Regions from separate parts of the Mus musculus genome. Here all the other regions are reported to be linked to region 1. Evidence: microRNA targets listed by miRTarBase, many of them from high-throughput screens and not tested one by one. Region 1 holds a microRNA gene; each other region holds the end of a gene's coding sequence.

The links. The annotated mature microRNA mmu-miR-883a-3p reads UAACUGCAACAGCUCUCAGUAU and lies in region 1 at 1,648-1,669, shown strand. An mRNA with a match to its seed (bases 2 to 7 or 8) in the 3' UTR can be bound and repressed. Matches are read on the target gene's strand: a 7mer-m8 pairs with bases 2 to 8, a 7mer-A1 pairs with bases 2 to 7 and ends in A, and an 8mer does both.
Region 2: miRTarBase lists Tbl1xr1 as a target of mmu-miR-883a-3p. The part of its 3' UTR that is shown has no 7-base or 8-base seed match.
Region 3: miRTarBase lists Abcc9 as a target of mmu-miR-883a-3p. Seed matches in the 3' UTR shown: 8mer at 1,943-1,950.

What each region holds. Positions count from the first base shown.
Region 1 is chrX:66,778,121-66,782,436 of GRCm38, reverse strand. It overlaps Mir883a (microRNA 883a), which reads left to right and starts at 1,604; the gene lies at 1,604-1,679. It overlaps Mir742 (microRNA 742), which reads left to right and starts at 2,000; the gene lies at 2,000-2,064. It also overlaps the pseudogene Gm14681.
Region 2 is chr3:22,209,881-22,214,196 of GRCm38, reverse strand. Tbl1xr1 (transducin (beta)-like 1X-linked receptor 1) reads right to left here. Exons shown (of 16, transcript NM_030732.3): 16 at 1-3,796. The coding sequence ends at 3,770. Among named protein-coding and RNA genes, the nearest start is that of Tbl1xr1, 140 kb to the right of the region's middle.
Region 3 is chr6:142,586,934-142,591,249 of GRCm38, reverse strand. Abcc9 (ATP-binding cassette, sub-family C (CFTR/MRP), member 9) reads left to right here. Exons shown (of 40, transcript NM_011511.2): 40 at 747-3,388. The coding sequence ends at 884. Among named protein-coding and RNA genes, the nearest start is that of Kcnj8, 17 kb to the right of the region's middle.

The DNA.
Region 1 (4,316 bases):
CATAGCTAAGATAAAAAACTGATGCAACAGCAGATGCTGGCAAGGATGTGGAGAAGAAAGAAGAACATTCCTCCATTGCTGGTGGGATTGCAATCTTGAAGACCCATTCTGGAAATCAATCTGGTGTTTTTTCAAAAAAATTGTAAATAGTTCTACCTGAAGATTCAGCAATACTGCAACCCAGATATTCTTCACCTGAAGAATAGATAGAGAAAATGTATTTCATTTACACAGTGGAATACTACTCAGCTATTAAGAGGGAGGACATCCTGAGTTTTGCAGTCAAATGGATGGAACTAGAAAATATCCTGAGTGAGATAACCCAGACAGAAAAGAACATGCATGGTATGTACATACTTATACCCATGACATACGCCCACAGACCCTAAGAAGTTAAACAAGAAGGAAGGCCCAATTGAAGATGCTTGAATCACACTTAAAAAGGGTAACAGAACTGTCATGGGAGGCAGAGGGAGCAATGTGGGTATGTGAGGGGGATATGTTTGCAGGATCAGGTGTGGGAAGGGAAAAGAAAGAGGCCCATAGGCCCAGGAGAATGAATGGAAATCTCTATCTTGCAGGGGACTTACGGGTGGAGGTAATCTCTAAGCAGACCCTGAGACCTAGGATAGGGAAGGCTCCCAGGAGCCATTGTGTGTGACCTTAGCTGAGATGCCTAACAATGTGGACATGGAACCTGAAGAGGCCACCTCCTATAAACAGGCAGGACCTCCTGTGAAAGATAAGGACACGAACCCACCCATAAAACTTTTGACCTAAAATCCACATTTTTTAAATTATATTTTTATTAATCCTTTACAATTTCATATTCACTTTGGTCATAATTATAATTAAGTTTGATAAAAGAATATGTTTTGTTGTGATCATCATTTCTCTTTAAGTTAGGGTAGTGACAGGTTTTTATGTGAAATGTACATGCAAAATCAATTGGATTTTCAATATCATCAGCTTAAGTGTGAAATCAAACATTTACAGACACAGTTTAGTGGGGGTGTGTTTAATTGTGAAGATTGTGATAAAAGCTGTTGGATGAAATTGTTGTTGTTGAGATGAAGTACAAAGGATCAGTCTATGCTATCTCAAAGTACAGATTAATACATACTGAAGCCTTCATTTGATATATTCTCTTGATGCTGATGACTAAATCATTGCAGGTATCTTGAGGTCTTGCCTTGTTCATTTGTTATTCTTTGGTGTCACCTGACCTATATATTTATAAGAATATTTGTCTTGTTAATTCTATTTTTGTTTTGTTTTGTTTTGTTTTTTTGAGACAGGGTTTCTCTGTTGACCAGGCTGGCCTTAAACGAACTCAGAAATCCGCCTGCCTCTGCCTTCCGAGTGATGGGATTCACGCCCGGCTATGACTTGTTAATTCTTAACCTCTTGAATTCATACAGATTCGAGGAGTATCAAGAAAGAAGCAAGTCTGATACCTTGAAATGGAGATGGAAGATAATGGAAAATATGATTATACTTCCTGAGGAATTATGTGTAAAGAAATAACATTGCATTCATGTCATACTGAGAAGAATCATGAAAGTTGTTTTTGAAGTCAGCTGATAATAATAATAATTCGTGTGCACTATAATGCTGAGAGAAGTAGCAGTTACTTTATTCTATAAGTAACTGCAACAGCTCTCAGTATTGTAAGGCTCAACAAACGCAGGGATGGTAGCCATATGGTCATATTATGCCTTCATAGAGAAGATAAATGTACTGATTCTGGATTATACTTCATCCATCTTCATGATATCTTCAGATCTATAACCATAGAGAAGAGAACGGTTGTAGAACTTTAGAAGTATACTAAGAAAAATCCTAATGGTGGAACATGAGAAGACAGCTTCGAAGAAGAATGTGTGGTTAAAAAAAAAAAGTAATTATTGTTGACGACTTACTTCAATGTTCTATTCAATTTTATTTCACATGTTGAAATAAAGACTTCAGATGGGCTGGTTCTAGAGTACCTGGGCAGTGCTCTACTCACATGGTTGCTAATCACGTGAAGTGTAGGTGAAAGCCACCATGCTGGGTAAAGTAAAGCTCATCATGTTCTTCATTTGTTGTGGCCTTGGGTAGTAAAGATGAAGAAACTATACATCCTTATTATGGCTCCAGAATCTGCTTCCTTGTACCTGAAGAAACTATGCTCTCATTTTTTTTTTAAGTTTAAATGTTGTGGAAGTTAGCATTATTCTAGCTTGCACAGAACCCAAATTATACAAATTATAAGAACAGAAAATTGCATGCCAGTCTCAATAGGGATCATGAATATAAATATCAGAAATAAAACCAATCAATGATTTCAGGCCCAACTGAATATCAATTCAAATATCTTGTGACAACTTAGATGATGAGTGCACGAAAGTGGACTGAAAAGCTACAAGTAATTAGAGTCTTCCTTTATAAATATGGCCCTAAGTGAAAAAGAACCAAACAGATTTAAATTCAAGTCACTGAAATTATGATGGTATCAGTGATTTGAATTTAAATAGACCAAGTTCCTATCTTCTGTATTCTGTAACTTTCTCCAGTAATTGAACAGCGATATACAGGTACAATTGTGTTGTATTCTCATCCTATGCTCCCAATATTCTGATTCTTTTAGAAGATTTTCATTACCTAGTTTTTAAAAGTCATTTGCAAAGTATATCACTGATTAATCTTAAAGTCACACTGGCTATCTGGCTATAGGTCAAGAGGTCTTCCTTTATCATGCAAGGTGACAAAGTATATTTTGTATTCCCAAACAGTTGAAAATAAATAAATCAATGTTAATATGTCATGCTGTAATTGGTGAAGTGATGAAAACTGCTTGGGATGATTAGCCTACATGGATGATACCTCCATATCTTCATGCTTTATGTTATATCTCACTCAAGAAGCTGTTAGACAGTTGGACTACCGACAAATCTTCCAGGTAAAGTACTGCTCTTTAATTCAGTTATTTTTGATAGGTTCTAGGTAGTATTAGTGCTTTCCATGTAAGATCACTGATAATGGTTTTCAGGATGATCACAAAGCCTTACTATACAATTGTGTGTATCTTTTTAATCACTTTCATGGGACAGCATTCAAGCATCTATGTTAGGTAAGGAAAAGGAGAACAAGGTGCTAAAATTAAGAATTATGCTTTCATAAAAAGAAAATGAGGTACACTGTGTTAATGAAAGACTAAACACAGAAACGGTTTGAGTCTTTGTTGCCCCATATCCTTACTTTTTCAACATAGTGTAGACTATCCATGTTTCACCTCATGGGTACTTTCAAAATAGAGAATGTAAAGAAAGAAGATAATCTAAAGAAAAAAAAAATAATTTCCTTCCCAGTAATTAAATAAAGTTAAAGGACTTTTATCTCTCTGATCCAGAAGTGGTAGAGATAGAAAGTGAAGGAGAGTATATATATTCCCTAAGAACTTGAGTTAAGGACTCCTGAAACTTCTTGGTAATGCAAGAGTCAGATGAGATGATATGTCTCCATTCATTTTGGTGTGTGCATTGTGATATAGGACAGATACCAGTCACTTTCTACTAACCTCTCTCAATATAAGGATACAGAAAAAAGTAAAACTTGATGAAGATGATGAGGACGATGATGAGGATGATGAGGATGATGATGATGATGATTTTGATGAAGAGGAAACTGAAGAAAAGGTCCCAGTGAAGAAATCTGTACGAGATACCCCAGCCAAAAATGCACAAAAATCAAACCAAAATGGAAAAGACTTAAAACCGTCAACACCGAGATCAAAGGGTCAAGAGTCCTTCAAAAAACAGGAAAAGACTCCTAAAACACCAAAAGGACCTAGTTCTGTAGAAGACATTAAGGCAAAAATGCAAGCAAGTATAGAAAAAGGCGGTTCTCTTCCCAAAGTGGAAGCCAAGTTCATTAATTATGTGAAGAATTGTTTCCGGATGACTGACCAGGAGGCTATTCAAGATCTCTGGCAGTGGAGGAAGTCTCTTTAAGAAAAGGGTTTAAACAGTTTAAACAGTTTGGGGTATCTCTCTCAATATAAGGATACTCATAAAGTACTGTCATTGTAAATGTAAGAACATAGATGCACATGCAAGAGTATTTTCTGATTCTAAGATCGATTGTAGCTACCTTCACAGGACATTGTTTAGGTGAAGATATAGGGGGAACCTTTCATCTAATTCCTATTTCTCATAGGTGAAAATATTTAAAATTAGGGACATAGCACTATGGAAAATAAGTTTAGTTTCATTTTAATTTTTAAGTGCTTTTTAAATTAAAATATTTTATAATTCTCCCCTTTCGTTTCTTCC
Region 2 (4,316 bases), not on the chromosome of region 1:
ATGGTCTTTAAAAGAGCAAGACAGCACTGTCTGAGATGGTTTTCCTATGCATTTAGTAAAACTTGTCAGGTGTGCTTGCAGAAGCCTGGTCATCCGTGATTTCTTTAAATAGCAAAAGGCCCAGTCCTCAGCCGGCCTCTGCTCCTCATTCATAGTTTACATTACTCTTTTAACGAAATCATTCTACATAAACAGATAGCTCCTTAAAAATAGTACTCTTTCATTAAATCTGATCGACAGAAAGAATCTTAAGGAAAAAAAGGAGTGCTTTATAAGTGAAAAGTACAAATCTTTGGCCTGTCTCTTGACATTTTTATGTCAAAAAGCAAAAAACCCTTCATGTGATTCAATCTATTGATTACGTTTTGCACCATAATTTGTTTTGTATACCACAAAAGGAGGCACTTTCAGTATCTGCAAAAGGTGTTTAGTCCTAAAACATACTCACCTAGAGGATAACTCAGGAAAACAATCTGTTACACTCTAAGACCTACTCCAGTAACCACGCCTAAATCATTTGAAAACTCAATGATGTTACCTGATCATGGAAAATAGGGATAAATCTAAGTCCCCAAGGGTCTCCTGCCTGGAGTACACAGGTTCCTTCATGCCTTTCAAGGGTGGCAGCTGCTCCCTCCAGTCTACTTTAATCAATGATATTCATTTAAGCCTCCTATTCTCTGCCTTACAGTAACATATACAACAATGATCTAAATGAACACCATAGAAAGACTACTGGACTCTGGATTTTCAGAGCCAATTCTCAGAAAAAGACAAGAAGGAAAGTAGAGAGCCCCATGACAGCACTTGACACACTCAAGTGTGGTCTCTGGTGATCATCTGACTGCTTGGATGAAGACATGGTGTGGTGTCTGTGGAGCAGCATCATGGCACGTCAGCAGGCTACAGGGACAGTGAGAGCAGCAGCAAAGCACACAGTCCTACGCTCACAGAGAACCAGCCTAAAGGTAGATGTCTTCAGCCACATCTGCGAGGGAAAGACCCGAGGCTTTGGGACAGCAAAGCTCTGCACTTCTCTTCTATCAGACAATCTATCACAGCTAGTGTGCTGAAGTAAAATAGCCAAAGAAATAGGAAAAAAAAAAATAAAACAAAACAAAACAAACCAATAAACACACACCCAACAGAAAGCAAGACATTATCAGAAAATTCAGCTGTCATTTTGGCAGCTGTGTTTCAGGAATTTGTGACTGTCTTTGAATCAGCTGGGAAGAACGTCAATGACTGTATGCAAATGAATAAAATGTCCATATCAAAATACAAAAGCACTATCAACAATCACCTCTGACTTTCAGGTTCAGATTCAGTGCAATTGACAAATGCATCGCTGAAGGAAATGCAGCTTAGGCATACTCAAAAAGTTTGTGTCTATTCTTGGGAGCACGTTTAAAAATTATTGCACAGTTTTTTTATTTTTATTATTATTTTTTTAAACAACAACAGAGGCCAACAGATGTGACCCTCTTGCAGTAAAAGCAAAATCTCAAGTGGCAGACACTCAGCATTTTAGAATTCCTACAGAGCCACAGAGCAATGGGTTCTAAATGTCTCAATGTGATAGAACCCTGAAAACACCTGGCACAAACCATAGACGACTGCCTCTCTGGATGCAACTCTTAATATTACAGTATCATAGACCCCACTAACAAAATGGGGTAGATATAACGATGTATGGTAAAATGTAAGTGTATCCATCCTCTTTACCAAAAGCAAATGCCACCCTACCTTAATGAAGCCAAGACTGGCGTCAATCAACGCTGCTTTGTAAAGAACAAGGCAGCAAAAACAGAGCAGCAAAGCTGCGGGGCTGGGTTAGAGCAGTTTCGTAGAACACAGGGTGGGATTCAGGAGCCAAAGGCCTCAAAATAACTACTGACACACATAGTGTTATAAATTTGCTAAGCAATTTCTTAATTAAAAATTTAAAGATATAAATTTGACAACTGTTCTTTCTCTTCAGAACCTACACTCCTGGGTTCTTCCATTAATATCGACTATCCTGTCAACCACCTTCACAAACACAGCCTCTGGTGAACCTTTGTAGGTATATTTTACTTTTAGCTGAACATAAAGAGTCTGATTGAAGCCGGCCGTGGTGGCGCACACCTTTAATCCCAGCCCTCGGGAGGCAGAGGCAGGCGGATTTCTGAGTTCGAGGACAGCCTGGTCTACAAAGTGAGTTCCAGGATAGCCAGAACTATACAGAGAAACCCTGTCTCAAAAAAAAACCAAAAAAAAAGAATCTGATTGGATACCTATATCTTTAAAAAAAAAATACTTGATATAAACAAGAGTAAAAAACATGATATAGTAGTGATTATAGTGGAAACAAAACAGCAGCTTAGATCTACAATGCTTAAGTGCAGCTTTGGCGCCGTATATGCAGGCAGAGGGATAGCTCCAGCCACACCTCTCCTAATTTCCCCATCACTGCTACCCAAACATAGCTCAAAGCAAGCCTTTAAAAACTGTTTTCAAAACTAAGGTAGCAAACATTTAGCCATGTAATGGCAGTGTTATATGCTGCTGTAACCTTGCTTTGTAAAAAGAAAACTAACATGAGAGATTTTTTAATACTGGAATCTGGTTACATTACATATTTAAGCTTCTATACAGAATGATGGACACTTTGAGAAGCTAATCCTTATCCAGAAATATTTTAATCTCTTAAGAAACAAAGTAAAACAGACAAATGGTAAAATAAAAAATAAAAATAATAAAATAAAAGCCCCAAACTATGTTGCTCCTTCTCACAATAGTGCACATTTTTAACCATAATTTAGTTATGGCTACAAAACATCAGAAGATTATTATTTAGAAAAAAAAAAACCAAACTCTTCTTTATGGTATTAAAAAAAAAAAAAAGTTGTGCCCTTCTAGTCTTTAATTGGCAGAAATATGTCCCCAAAAAGAAACTATTTTAAGCGCTCTCTCTCCTCCCCACCCCTCTCTCTCTCTCTCACACACACACACACACACACAAAGAACTAAAACAAAAAACCCAGAAACCCAAAACAAAGATAACATAACACCCTTTGCTGATGTGTCTTAGAGAGTGACATGACGGAAGTCATGTAGTTTCCTATTATTCCAATTCCCTCCATAATATGCACCTATTGAGTTATATGCTCTGGGAGCCATCAGATGTACCAAACATCTACCTCTTCCAAAGAATGCAGTAAAATATTTTTAAGAATTTTTTTGTTGTTTAAAAGGTGAGAAAAAAAAGCAAGATAATGATTCACTCCCTTACTTCATGCATCCATAATCTAAACCAAAACAAACTTGGAAGCAAGAACCAACTACTGCCGCAAGCTTTTGTTAAGTCCATGTTCTCTGTACATACAAACTGCGCACTACTGAGGGGAAAAAGAATATAATCCATGTGTCTGCTGATTCAAAGGGGGAAACAAGGCTGTCATTAATATTCAAAACTGGGACATGTGTGGTTTGCTCTTATAACGCATATTCCTTCTCTTCTGGTTTTCATATCCAAACTTCTAAACGCTACTTAGGGGCACAGCAGGTTAGATCCCAGCACTTGGTGAGCAGAATTCACAAGCTGGGATGAGACTGTCATCTTCAGGGTACAGCTGTGTTCATATATACTGCATGTATATATTTCTCTTAGATTTGGCTGTAGTGGACTGGCCATGGTTCAAGTGGGACTATAGCAGTATATGGGTCAGGGATAGTCTTGTGGCTATGTACACATTCATAGTCGGTCCATGGCTTCCAACTAGTAACGCTATTTCCGAAGGTCTAAGACACAAACCTGTAAGAGATGACAACAGTCAGCCAGTATCAAGAAATCTACCTTACATTGCAAGCTTAACTTCTATAAAGAATACAATGTAATTTACAATCTAAGATGCAAATTCATAAAATCAAAGTAACAAATTATGGAAAGAAACCTTAACTGATGAAGGACATCGGGCCAATATGCTGTGATGTGATCACTACCAAGCTACAGTAACTGAGGAAATGCTGCTCAAAGTTTTAGGTTTAGGTCTTTAAAGTCAGTAAAAGGGGGATGGGGAACATACAGAGCAGACTCAGGTCTGAACACAACACAGGTGTTACGGGGTCATCTCAACAAACAGCTCTGCTTTCCTCTCTCCTGCTTTCCCTGATTTACAACGGGAGAGGCTATACTACCTCCCCCGGCCCCCCAAGTATCTACTAACAACATCCTGAAGGTCAGTATTAAATATCTCCCCACAGAAATCAGCCTCCATTCTTCATCCTCCAACACTCCACTTCAGAGGGGAGAGTTGGGGAAAGGGCTTTAAAAA
Region 3 (4,316 bases), not on the chromosome of region 1:
GCCTTTAATCCCAGCACTTGGGAGGCAGAGGCAGGCAGGTTTCTGAGTTCGAGGCAAGCCTGGTCTACAGAGTGAGTTCCAGGACATCCAGGGCTACACAGAGAAACCCTGTCTCGAAAAACCAAAAAAAAAAAAAAAAAAAAAAGAAAAAAGAAAGAAAGAAAAAAATGTTGTTATGTTGTTAATAAATAACACCAAATCCCCTATCCCAAGGGCGCTATAATGTGCTACAGGTCAATAACTCTGAATAATGCCCTAAGAGACTACAGGTCAATAACCCTATATAATGCATTCAAATGTTGAATGCCAGAATAGACTTCTCCAGATTTCCAGACCAGAGTCTCTCAGGGTCCTTTTTATTATTTGTTAATCCAGGTATTTAGTGGGCTCACACATGAACTAACTATAATCAAGAATAAAATAGAACCGAGCTGGTTCATATGGGCTCCCTTTGGCATTTCACTGAGGCACATTTATTACTGTGTACAGTTGTCAAGTTTCAGTGCAACAGTGAGTAATGGCTGCACTGAAGTTAAGACAGAGCAAACAAAACCCCACCATGCTGGCTGGCATTTAAAAGCATATAAATGAATTAATTAATTCATACAAGGAAAGGGTATTTCTTGGTACACCCAAAGTAAAAAGAAGCAACCATGCATGACCAGTCTGTGAGATATTCATATTCACCGTCTTGGCTCTTGTGCTCAAATTCATAGCAAATGTCGATGTTTCTCACGTTCACGCAGCATCGGGTTCACACCATTCTGACTGCAGACCTGGTTATTGTGATGAAGAGAGGAAATATTTTGGAATACGACACCCCGGAAAGCCTCTTGGCCCAGGAAGATGGAGTGTTTGCCTCGTTTGTCCGTGCAGACATGTGACAGGATTGTCTCTCAACAGCACAAGTACTTCAATGCCTACCGTCGGCCCACCTGAGCGGTCTTCACCTTTGCCAACTTTGACGGATTTCTGTGTGGAGAGTTGAGATTTCTATTTCCTGTTTTGGTTTAACAGTTTCTGAGATACGTGTGTTATAGGTTCATTTACTACGATCTGTCCACACTCGAAAAGTAGGCTACATTAAATCATGCTAGCAGCCTTAAGAGGTAAAGCCATTGGAGAGAAGTGTCAAGCATGGGAGCTAAAATGAGTAATCTGTGTTACCACACTCTTAGTACTATCATTTTTTTTTTTGAGACAGGGTTTCTCTGTATAGCCCTGGCTGTCCTGGAACTCACTCTGTAGACCAGGCTGGCCTCAAACTCAAAAATCCACCTGCCTCTGCCTCCCAAGTGCTGGGATTAAAGGCGTGCGCCACCACCACCCAGCTGTTACCACACTCTTATTTGGAAGACTAGCATGACCTTGCTGTTGATGTGCCCATGTAGCAGGGTAAAAGAAAATTCATTTTCTAACAAAATACTCACATTCATGATCTACTGTAGGAGAATATTTTCTATGCATTTAACATTATTAATATTGGTTTTAACTTTTCCCTTTTAAATAATTTCCTGTCATCAAGAAGCTATCACATTTTTGGTACCTCTATAAAGCTAACCCTTCACAAAAGAAAAGATCACCAAAAGGGGTTGTATATTTGAAAACATTATACTTGTATCCATTTTCCTCTGTTCAACAAAGAGAAAGTTCAAGTTAGCTTCAGTCCTTCAGTGATAGGCAACCTAGGTTTTCTAGAGTTTAATTCTTTATCAGCCAGGCAATGACTCTGAACTCTGAAATGCTATATTATTTAGGACCCAAAAGAAAATGGATCAATGGCCTTATCTGTTACACATACACACACACACACACACACACACACACACATTTTCACAGCATAGCTTGGCTTTATGCTAATCTTGGCATGTGCACATTCCTCAGAGGTACCAGGTATTCCCAGCCATGCATCTCTGTGGGAAGATAGAAGAATCTCATGCTCTGCAGTTACATAGGTAGCAAGGGTTTATTTTTACTTGGGCAAATTTCAGTGATAGGCATTGAGATCATGCATTCGACCATTTGTCCTGTTCTAATTATGAAGAGCGTACCAGAAGTCTGTATGATATTAGTGTCATATTTCATTCAAATGCCAATTAATAAAGCAAAGCTGACTGAAGTTGCCTCCCCTGGTGTTCCACCATCCACAGTTTCTGTAACATTTACCCAGTGGACATGAGCGCTGCTGAATTTCATATAAGGGTCTTCACAGAAAATACATGTTCCTTCCCCGTGGTTCCTGTACTCATTTTAACGTGTTGTTTATTCTGTTTCACGACCTACATACAGTTCTTGTGCATCAGGATATATCAAGCTGCCTTCATGGCTATAGAATGTAATGTAAGAAAAATGTTCATAAATATGGACAAAAATGGTCCAGATTACTTAGTTTAAATAGCTACATTTTCTTCTGTATCTAAAACTTCGTTAGAAGAAAGTAATAGTATTATTTGCAGAAAGCCAGTCGATCACAGCCATTACCAATAAGTTCAACCTCAAAGTACTTCATAAAAATCTGACCAATCTACTAAAATACTGCAGGCGTGAAAGGTTCTGTTGGAGCTGAATGTCATGATGTTTATCATCCAGCAAGCCCTCCTTCTCACATAGCAACAGCATCCACCTACAGAAGCAGCCCCTCAGTGTAGCCACTTCACCACCCTGTGCACCCTAAGTGACTTTTGATTCCTTGAACCTTTTACTTACTTGAGGTGAGGAAATGTCTGATAATCTGCAAAACAAAACCTACCAAATGGAATCAGGGGCGACATCTCAGTCGGTCCGGCTGGCATTGCGTTGCTTGGGCTACCTCCGATGACAGAAACGTGCTTTTACTGTAGGTAAAACCATAAGAAAAGAAAATAATCTCAATTATTTTCAGAGCTAAAGTTTATATTGATCTTACCAAATCAACACCACACATATTTATTCTAACTATAAAAAGCAATAAATGCAAACAAAACAAAAAAGTTCATGGTAAAATGACGGAATCAGCATGTGAGTAAGGATCGCTTTCCTCAAAGGTTACCCTCCCACCCCCGCTATTTCTCATGATTCGTCAATATCTAGGTTAGGTATTGAAAGATCTTTCTAAGCATCTGGTACTATGATCAGGACCATATCCTGCCCATCTTTGGGCCCTTGGCACTAAAACAAGTGAATAGATCCAAGTGAATAAAGTAATTTCTCCATTGACTTTTTTTTTTAACTGCTAGTCATGTGGCTGTAACTATGGGTTGCTCTTTATTATTCCCTGATATGTTTATTCTATTTATTCTCAGTATATTAAATCTGTTTATTATGTACACTGTATGTTTACTCTCAATAGTACATGAGAACGTATTGGCTTACCTTATACAATAAATTAGTCCTTTTGTTTACTCAGTTATGGAGAGTAATGTTTCTTCCACAGACAGTTTCATTGAGTGTTAACCAGTCAACAGCTATAAATCAATATACTTGCCAGGCAGTAGTTAGCCTGCCTGCCTTCATGATTTGCAAGTGTCACATATGTGTCCTGTCACTTTTATGAACACACTCCAAGTCTATTTCCATTGAGGGGACCAACTCAAATACCCCAAAACTACATGCCAACTATTAGCAGAGAAAACACCAGTTGATAGTGTGCACCTGAAACTTAATTCAGTGACTGCAAGTTATTGATATCATTGATTTATTAAGTATTGGTAGGATTCACCTGATCAAACTCACCAAGGAAGAGATGTCTATATGTTTCTAGCAAGTGCCTCAGATGAGACTTATAATTGGCCAAGTTTGGGTTAAGTCACCTCAGCCTCTTCCCCCCCCCCATCCCCCACACTCACTATTTAGCTGAGGCTAGTGAACTCACGAGTGACCCTCTGGCCTCTGGATTCTCTTCGTCACTGATGTCACTTTACTCTGAGTTCCTCCGACACTCCATGTCATGAGATTCATTGTTAGGGTTCCTTGCTGATGCGATCTTGTTCTGGATCTTATCTGAGAAGACAGCCAGGATGATCAACATCATCTTCTTTTGTCATTTAACCAGCAGTGGGGATTCTAAGCATGAATATTGTTCATGAGAAAGCAATGTGTGCTTTCCACATCTGAGTTAGCTATCAAACCGTTGGCATGGGATTCTGCTGAGTTTGAGTTCCGAACGTATATTCCCCATGCCATATACATTTGCAGATATAAACCATGCCCCTATGTGTCTGTCCTCAGTGTGGTGAGTGTGTATGTGCGTACATGTGTGTTGGGGGGTTGCTGATATTTCCCAGTGTTAAAGGAGTGGAAAGAACATGATCCTGGTTCTTTTTCCCATTGCCACATTT